Linked DNA regions of Ovis aries. The main gene of each other region encodes a partner of the protein of the gene in region 2 in a complex. Links are inferred from orthologs where the notes say so. Each region holds a gene or a part of one and is shown on either strand. Other genes may lie near its edges.

Evidence for each region. Proteins that work in one complex are often made in the same cells at the same time.
Region 1: the proteins of MUS81 (region 2) and EME2 are in contact, whole or in part, in a crystal structure (PDB 7F6L), measured with the Homo sapiens proteins. The link is inferred for Ovis aries from reciprocal best matches to the Homo sapiens genes MUS81 and EME2. Residues at the interface, in NP_079404.3 of Homo sapiens: His330, Glu351, Phe354, Lys357, Arg358, Arg363, Val365, Glu381, Leu385, Gln386, Thr389, Asn390, Gln392, Val393, Ile394, Phe398, Lys400, Arg401, Tyr411, Leu414, Leu415, Arg417, Gly418, Leu419, Arg421, Leu422, Pro447, Ile464, Lys467, Ala468; in NP_001244299.1 of Homo sapiens: Glu140, Arg177, His179, Glu220, Glu221, Val224, Leu225, Gln227, Leu228, Trp229, Asn231, Leu232, Asp233, Leu235, Arg245, His246, Ala249, Val250, Lys252, Ala253, Leu254, Gln256, Tyr257, Lys260, Gln261, Glu264, Gln266, Phe268, Phe270, Cys271.

Annotation. Positions count from the first base shown.
Region 1 is NC_056077.1:1,876,325-1,879,337, forward strand, and holds part of EME2 (probable crossover junction endonuclease EME2), read left to right. Parts: intron 1-56; coding exon of another isoform or gene 57-60; coding exon 61-246; intron 247-326; coding exon 327-497; 3' UTR 498-1,432; coding exon of another isoform or gene 1,433-1,752; 3' UTR 1,753-1,841; coding exon of another isoform or gene 1,842-2,412; 3' UTR 2,413-2,482; coding exon of another isoform or gene 2,483-2,657; 3' UTR 2,658-3,013. Other genes in the region: SPSB3 (SPRY domain-containing SOCS box protein 3), read right to left, coding at 1,433-1,752, 1,842-2,142, 2,225-2,412, 2,483-2,657. UniProt on the Homo sapiens protein: Non-catalytic subunit of the structure-specific, heterodimeric DNA endonuclease MUS81-EME2 which is involved in the maintenance of genome stability. In the complex, EME2 is required for DNA cleavage, participating in DNA recognition and bending.
Region 2 is NC_056074.1:40,418,226-40,421,391, forward strand, and holds the end of MUS81 (crossover junction endonuclease MUS81), read left to right. Parts: intron 1-320; coding exon 321-437; intron 438-528; coding exon 529-624; intron 625-814; coding exon 815-943; intron 944-1,022; coding exon 1,023-1,126; intron 1,127-1,626; coding exon 1,627-1,710; intron 1,711-1,796; coding exon 1,797-1,863; 3' UTR 1,864-2,178; downstream 2,179-3,166. Other genes in the region: EFEMP2 (EGF-containing fibulin-like extracellular matrix protein 2), read right to left, coding at 2,774-2,935. UniProt on the Homo sapiens protein: Catalytic subunit of two functionally distinct, structure-specific, heterodimeric DNA endonucleases MUS81-EME1 and MUS81-EME2 that are involved in the maintenance of genome stability.

The DNA of each region.
Region 1 (3,013 bases), on a different chromosome or scaffold from region 2:
CGGGGTGCTCGGCAGAGGTGAGGAGCCTCTAGCACCTCCCTGCACCCCTTCCCCAGGCAGGCCCGGGAGTCTGGGGCCTTCCCCTTCTGCACCTCTGGGCGCTGGACGGCAGGCGAGCGAGTGGCCAGAGACGGCATGGGGCTGCGGGGGGCCTGGTGGCGGCAGGTCAGGCAGTTCAACCGCGTCAGCCCAGCCGTGGCCGATGCCGTTGTCAGCGCCTTCCCATCCCCCCGCCTGCTGCAGCAGGTGGGTGCCCGCCCTCACCCAGACCCCAGGTATGGGGGCCAGCTCCCAAGGCCTGCCGCTCACCCCTGCGCCCTCCCTAGGCGTACGAGGCCTGTGGCACGGAGCAGGAGCGCCTGGCCCTGCTGGCTGACCTCCCGGTGAAGACGGGCAAGAGAGCGCCACCCCGCAGGGTGGGGCCCGACCTCTCCCGCCGCATCTGCCTCTTCCTGACCACCACTGACCCCGACCTCCTGCTGGACCTGGGCTCCTGAGCAGGCCCGTGGGTTGCACAGGGCGTCCCCCGCCTGCAGGCAGGAGTGAACACAGCCTCCCAGAGGACCCGTGGGAAACCACAGGGGGTGGTGCGCCCCGAACCCGGGGCTTAGTCAGGTCTGACCCCAAGCTGGGGGATGAGGGGACGGCAGAGAGAAATCTTGCATAACTGGGAGAAGAAAATTCTTCTCTCGCCTGCGGAAGGTCTAGAGACGGTTTGGGGTGGGGCTCACGTGCCCTGAGCATGCACACTGGCCGAGGGGCTGGTAGACAGCTGGCACCAGCAGGAAGGGCTGCAGGGGCCTCGGATCCCACCGGGGAAACTCCCATCACCGGGAGGTTGGGGGGGAAGTACCTTCATTTTTAAGACAAGGTTTAGAGGGAGGAGAGAACCAGGCTACCTCTCCCCAGGGTACCGTGAGGCCCCAAGAGGAGACAAGCACGGACACCTGTGAGCCCCAGGCCTCACTTTGACCCACTTCATTCTATAGGCAGGTGGACATCAGACTTCGAGTTTATTATGGTTGCTTTCAGCCCCAGACAGGAGGAACAGAGCTGACAACATGCAAAGCAAGTTAAGAAAAACGTGAGGCCGGTGGTGCCAGGGAGAGCCCACCTCTCAAGTTGCGTCCTCCTCACAGGCAGCAGCCCATAGGCCCCCAGCCCCTTCCCTGCCAGCCCCCCAGACCTGAACCCAGACGCGCTGGGGCGGCAGCTGTTCTCATGCCCAGCACCGGAGCAGACAGGCTGGGTCTTGGGGTCACAGGGCTAACGGCTGGGAGCCCCTGTGGCGAGGCCCGCCCCAGCCTCAGGCAGCAGAGGGGCAGCGGGACAAACCTCGGCTCGGTCCTCCCCTCGGCGGCCCTGGGGCAGTCCACAGGCAGGGGCGGGGACCACGCCGTCCCAGCCCCGGGGGTCTCGATCAGGGAGCAGGCTAGGTCCTTCGGCAGCGCTTCCGCTGGCAGCGCCGGGGCTCTGGGCCGCTGGCCGCGGGCGAGGGCTCGGGGGGCTGGCGGCTCATGCTCAGGACCCAGCCCAGCTTGTGGTGCAGCACCTGCTTGAGGCCGGGCGGCAGGGGCAGGCCCTCAAGCGTGTCCCCCGAGCCGGGCCGCAGCTGGCGCAGGCGGTAGCAGCACAGGTACTGCAGGGAGGTGACGCTGGCGCACGAGCGGATCACCTTCATGCTGCTCTTGGCCGCCGTGGAGCACACCATCGGGTAGAACCTCTTGTTCTGCAGCTGCGTGGCCGCCACGCCTGGGGCGGGGGGAGGAACAGCCTCAGGGCACTCAGCCCCCCGGGGGCTCTGGCCCTGCTCCCTGGGGCCACATAGGTCCCGGCCTCACCTATGCACTTCCTGTTCTTGAAAAAGGTCAGCGTCCCGTGCCAGCTGTCCAGGTGCACGCCGATGATGGAGCCCTGGCCGAACCTCGAGGAGAAGCTCGTCTTGTCGCCCTTGTGGTGGAGGAGGCCTGGGGGCAGCAGGGTCGGGCTGAGCCCCACAGCCTGGGGGCCCCAGCCCCGCCCACCCGGGCCCTGCGCACCTGTGTAGGAGAGGCCCCAGCTGTCCTCGTCCCGGCCGAGCAGGCTGCAGAATGTGTGGTGGTACTTGTCCAGGTCCACGTCCGACGTCCCAATGCCCACCATCTGGGAACGGGAGCGGGCAGAGGGGGCAGGGGACCGAGGCGCCTGGCAGCACCCCCACCTCCTGGCCCCACCAGCCACTCACCATGTCCGTGCCGTAGACGGGCGACGTCATCTTGATCTCCCAGAAGTGCTGGCCCTCCCCCAGCTCCTTGGTGCCCCGGATGGCGGCCGTGCCACAGCTGTACTCCATGTGGAAGCTGACCTTCCGGTTGTCACAGCTCAGTAGGGTGGCCGAGGACTTGTTCAGGTCATCCCAGACCCAGTCAAAATCTGCGAGAGCGAGAGGCCCCAGCTGAGCCCCGGCCCACCCGGAGCACCGCCCACCACGCCCGGCACTCACACTCGTCCTCCTCGCCGCAGCGGCAGTCCCGGCCCCGGTGGGCGGCGTGCAGGCTGCCGCAGAAGGCCTCGCTCTGGCTCTCACAGTCGCAGAAGGACTCCCCGGTCACGGGCACGGCGCTGGGGATGGACGACGGCAGGGACGCGCACTCAGGGTCAGAGTCTGAGTCACTGTGCTGAAGGACATAGGAGATGTCGCCGCCCAACCTGCCGGTACCGGCCCAGCCACCCTCCACCCGCCTGCCCCGCTGCAGGCCCATGGCTCAACAGCCGGACGTCCCGAGGGAGAGACCTGGGGCTTGGCCTCCAGGGGACCACCCCGGCCCCGGGACACAGCCAGCCGCTGCCACCACGGACACCTCTTCTGGCCTCCTCCTCAAAGGCCGACCATGAGGAAGCTTCCTGGGAATGGAGTTGAGAGCCCTGGAGGCCCGGTGGCTTATCAGCCCCTGGCGGGGCTGCACACTCAGCCATCCCTCAAGGTCAGGAGCCCCTAGGTCACGGATACACAGGGGAGCCCATGGCAAAGCCC
Region 2 (3,166 bases):
TCCTCTCCAGGGTGGGGCTGCAGGGGCTCTGTCTCCGGGCTGGCTGCTGGGCTGACCCCACGGTGAGGCCACATGTAGGCCAAGGGAGGCTTGAGGAGGGATGGGCATCACTCAGATGGTGGTGGGGCTTTCCATGGGAGAGCAGCAGCGTAAGCCAGGGTGTGGAGGCCCCTGTGAGGCAGGTGGAGAAGCTCGGGAGGATGAAGTGGCTGGCGAACTGGTGGGACCAGGGTCTCATGACGCTTTTGAGGGTGGCGTGGTGGACACTTAGCGTATGAGCATCCAGGCCTGACCTGCCCGACCCCTGTCTGCCTGCCCAGTTCCGGCTGAAGCGCTGTGGCCTGGGGCGCCGAGTGTACCTGGTGGAGGAGCATGGTTCGGCGCGCAGCCTCAGCCTCCCTGAGAGCACACTGCTGCAGGCTGTCACCAACACCCAGGTGAGCCGGGAGGGCGGGCCGGGCTGGCAGGGGGCCTGCGGTCGGTGGCTCCGCTTAGGAGCTGCCTGCTCCTGTGGCTCCCCTTCCCCAGGTCATCGACGGCTTCTTTGTGAAGCGCACAGCGGACATTAAGGAGTCGGCTGCCTACCTGGCCCTGTTGACGCGGGGCCTGCAGAGGCTCTACCAGGTGAGCAGACTCCACCAGGCACCGTCTGTTCACCACCGGCCCCTCACCTGGGTGCTGTGCTCCCGCGAGGAAGGCGAGGAGACTGAGCTCCCTGGTCTCAGGCTGGCCCCCTGAGGCCTGGGATGGGGCAAGGCCTGGCTGGTGGTGGCCCCTAGAGCTCTGGCCGGGCCTCAGTCCGCTCTTCCCTCAGGGTCACACCGTCCGCAGCCGCCCCTGGGGCACCTCTGGGGACCCTGAATCAAAGGCCGGGCCCTCCCCAAACCCGCTCTGCTCGCTCCTCACCTTCAGCGACTTCAACGCGGGAGCCATGAAGAACAAGGTACCGCCTCCGCCCAGCCCCTCCTCCGCCCAGGCTCCGGCCCCCCACCACTCCTGATGCAGCACTGCCCCCACTGCAGGCCCAGTCTGTTCGGGATGTGTTTGCCAGGCAGCTCATGCAGGTGCGTGGGGTGAGCGGGGAGAAGGCAGCAGCCCTGGTGGCCCGGTACAGCAGCCCTGCCAGGTAGGTGCTCACGGAACCCCTGTCCTCTGCTGTCGCCCGCATCCCCCCTCTCAGCATGGGCATCAGCTCAACCAGTGCCTTGTGGGTGGTTGGGTGCTATGAGGGGTGGACTGACCCCGCTGACACCTGAAGGGTTCATGGAGGTCAGGTGGTGAGGAAGACAGAGCTACCCAAGACCAGACAGAATCTCGGGCACTGGGGAGGGGGAGAGACCTGGCATGTAGCAGAGAAGGGTTCCTGGAGGAGTGGGTAGACCATGAAGACTGGGCCAAGAGCAGCCGTTCTGGGAAAACACTTGCAGGAGCACGAAAGGAGGGTGAGCAGGATGGAGCAGGGCCTTGAAGGCCGGGTTCGGAAGGGCGGCCGTGGTCCTGACTCCTCCCACCCAGGCTGACCCCTTCTAGCCTGTCTCCCGTGATTCTGGCCTGAGCTACTCAGGGTGGGCTAGCAGTCAGCTGTTGTCAAGACTTAGAAAATCCAACTCCCCATCCCGCCCTCAGCTTACTGGCTGCCTATGATGCCTGTGCCACCCCAAAGGAACAGGAAATGCTGCTGAGCACCATCAAGTGTGGGCCGCTGCAGAGGTGAGGGCAGGAGGCAGAGCCTGCAGGGGGTAGGTGGGCTGCCCTCGGCCAGGGCCTGACTCCTACCTGCCTCTCTCTCTGCACAGGAATCTGGGGCCCGTTCTGAGCAGGACCTTGTCACAGCTCTACTGCAGCTATGGCCCTCTGACCTGAGCTATGTATGCCGCAAGACAGACCCCCATCTTCCCAGACCACCCAGTCTTTTAAGCAGAATCTTTGGACTACAGTAAATCTTAAGTGTGTGCATTTCTACGTGTTAGAAGGGGATACCAGGCCCCAGGGGTTTTGAAAAATATCCAGGAACTGGGGAGACTGTCATGTCCAGTTTTTAAAACTGAGCTCCTCAGGACCCTTGGGGTTCCCTTTCAGAGCACTGCTAGGGAGACGGAGTCAGGGAGGCATTGCAACGTTGAATCGAGTTCATGTCATCAGAGTTCTCTGATCAAATAAAATTTCCTTTGATGAGAAGTTCTGTAGCTTGGAAAAGAAAAGTTTATAAAGCGCTAACAATCCAGTGGCCTCATTTTATGGATTGGAACACTGAGACTCAGAGAGCTGCTAGGATTTCTCCAAACTGATAGTTTGAGGCCAAGCTGGGATTGAAACCCAGGGCCTCCTGGCACTGTCTAGAGCAGGATTCTTCAGCCCGCTGCAGACCAGCCAAGTCCAAGTTTCTGGGCTGGGGCCTGGAGTCTGCAGCCTCGTTACCTCCTCGCTGCTTGGGTGATTCTGGTGCCCATGGTATGTAGGCCAGTCCCAGCCTTGGGGGTGCAGCTCCCAGCTCCTGTCAATGGGGCCCTTCAGCCTGGGCAGAAACACGCCCTGCCTTTAGGTGGACGTGGCCCCCCTCCCATGAGCCTGGCCTTTCCCCGCTCCGGGGTTCACTGCAGTGTGACCCCCCCACCTCAGCCACCAGAACTCCTTCTTTCTCCCTTTATTGCCTTTCTCTCTCTACTACCCTTCACAAGAGCATCTTTCCTTTTAGCAGAACACAGTCATCCCTGAGCCCCAGGCTCCTCAGCTACAGAGAACCTCCCCTTCCCTGAGGGCCCCCCACCCCCCCTCAGAAGGTGTAGGCCCCCACGAAGACGGTGAGTCTCAGTACAGAGCTGGCCCGGTAGCTCATGAGGGAGTTCATGGTGACCATCTCCAGGTCCAGCACGTACTCCCGGGGGCCCGTCACAGGCCGCGCGAGGACCAGCATGGCGCTGACATTGTTGATTTGCTGCAGGGTACAGTGGGGGGGGGGGGGGGACATGTGGATTGCATCAATGTACGCACCAGAACCTACTCCCGCATGACCTCGCTGCCCCGCGTCTGGCACCCACAACCAGTTGGCTGCACAGTGGAGTGCCCTGGCCAGCCTGCAACCCCAGGCCCTCACCCAGCTCCCCGACCCCCTTGACATCTGCACCCTGCCCCAAAGAAATACCCTCCTGGTGCTCTGCCCGCCCTT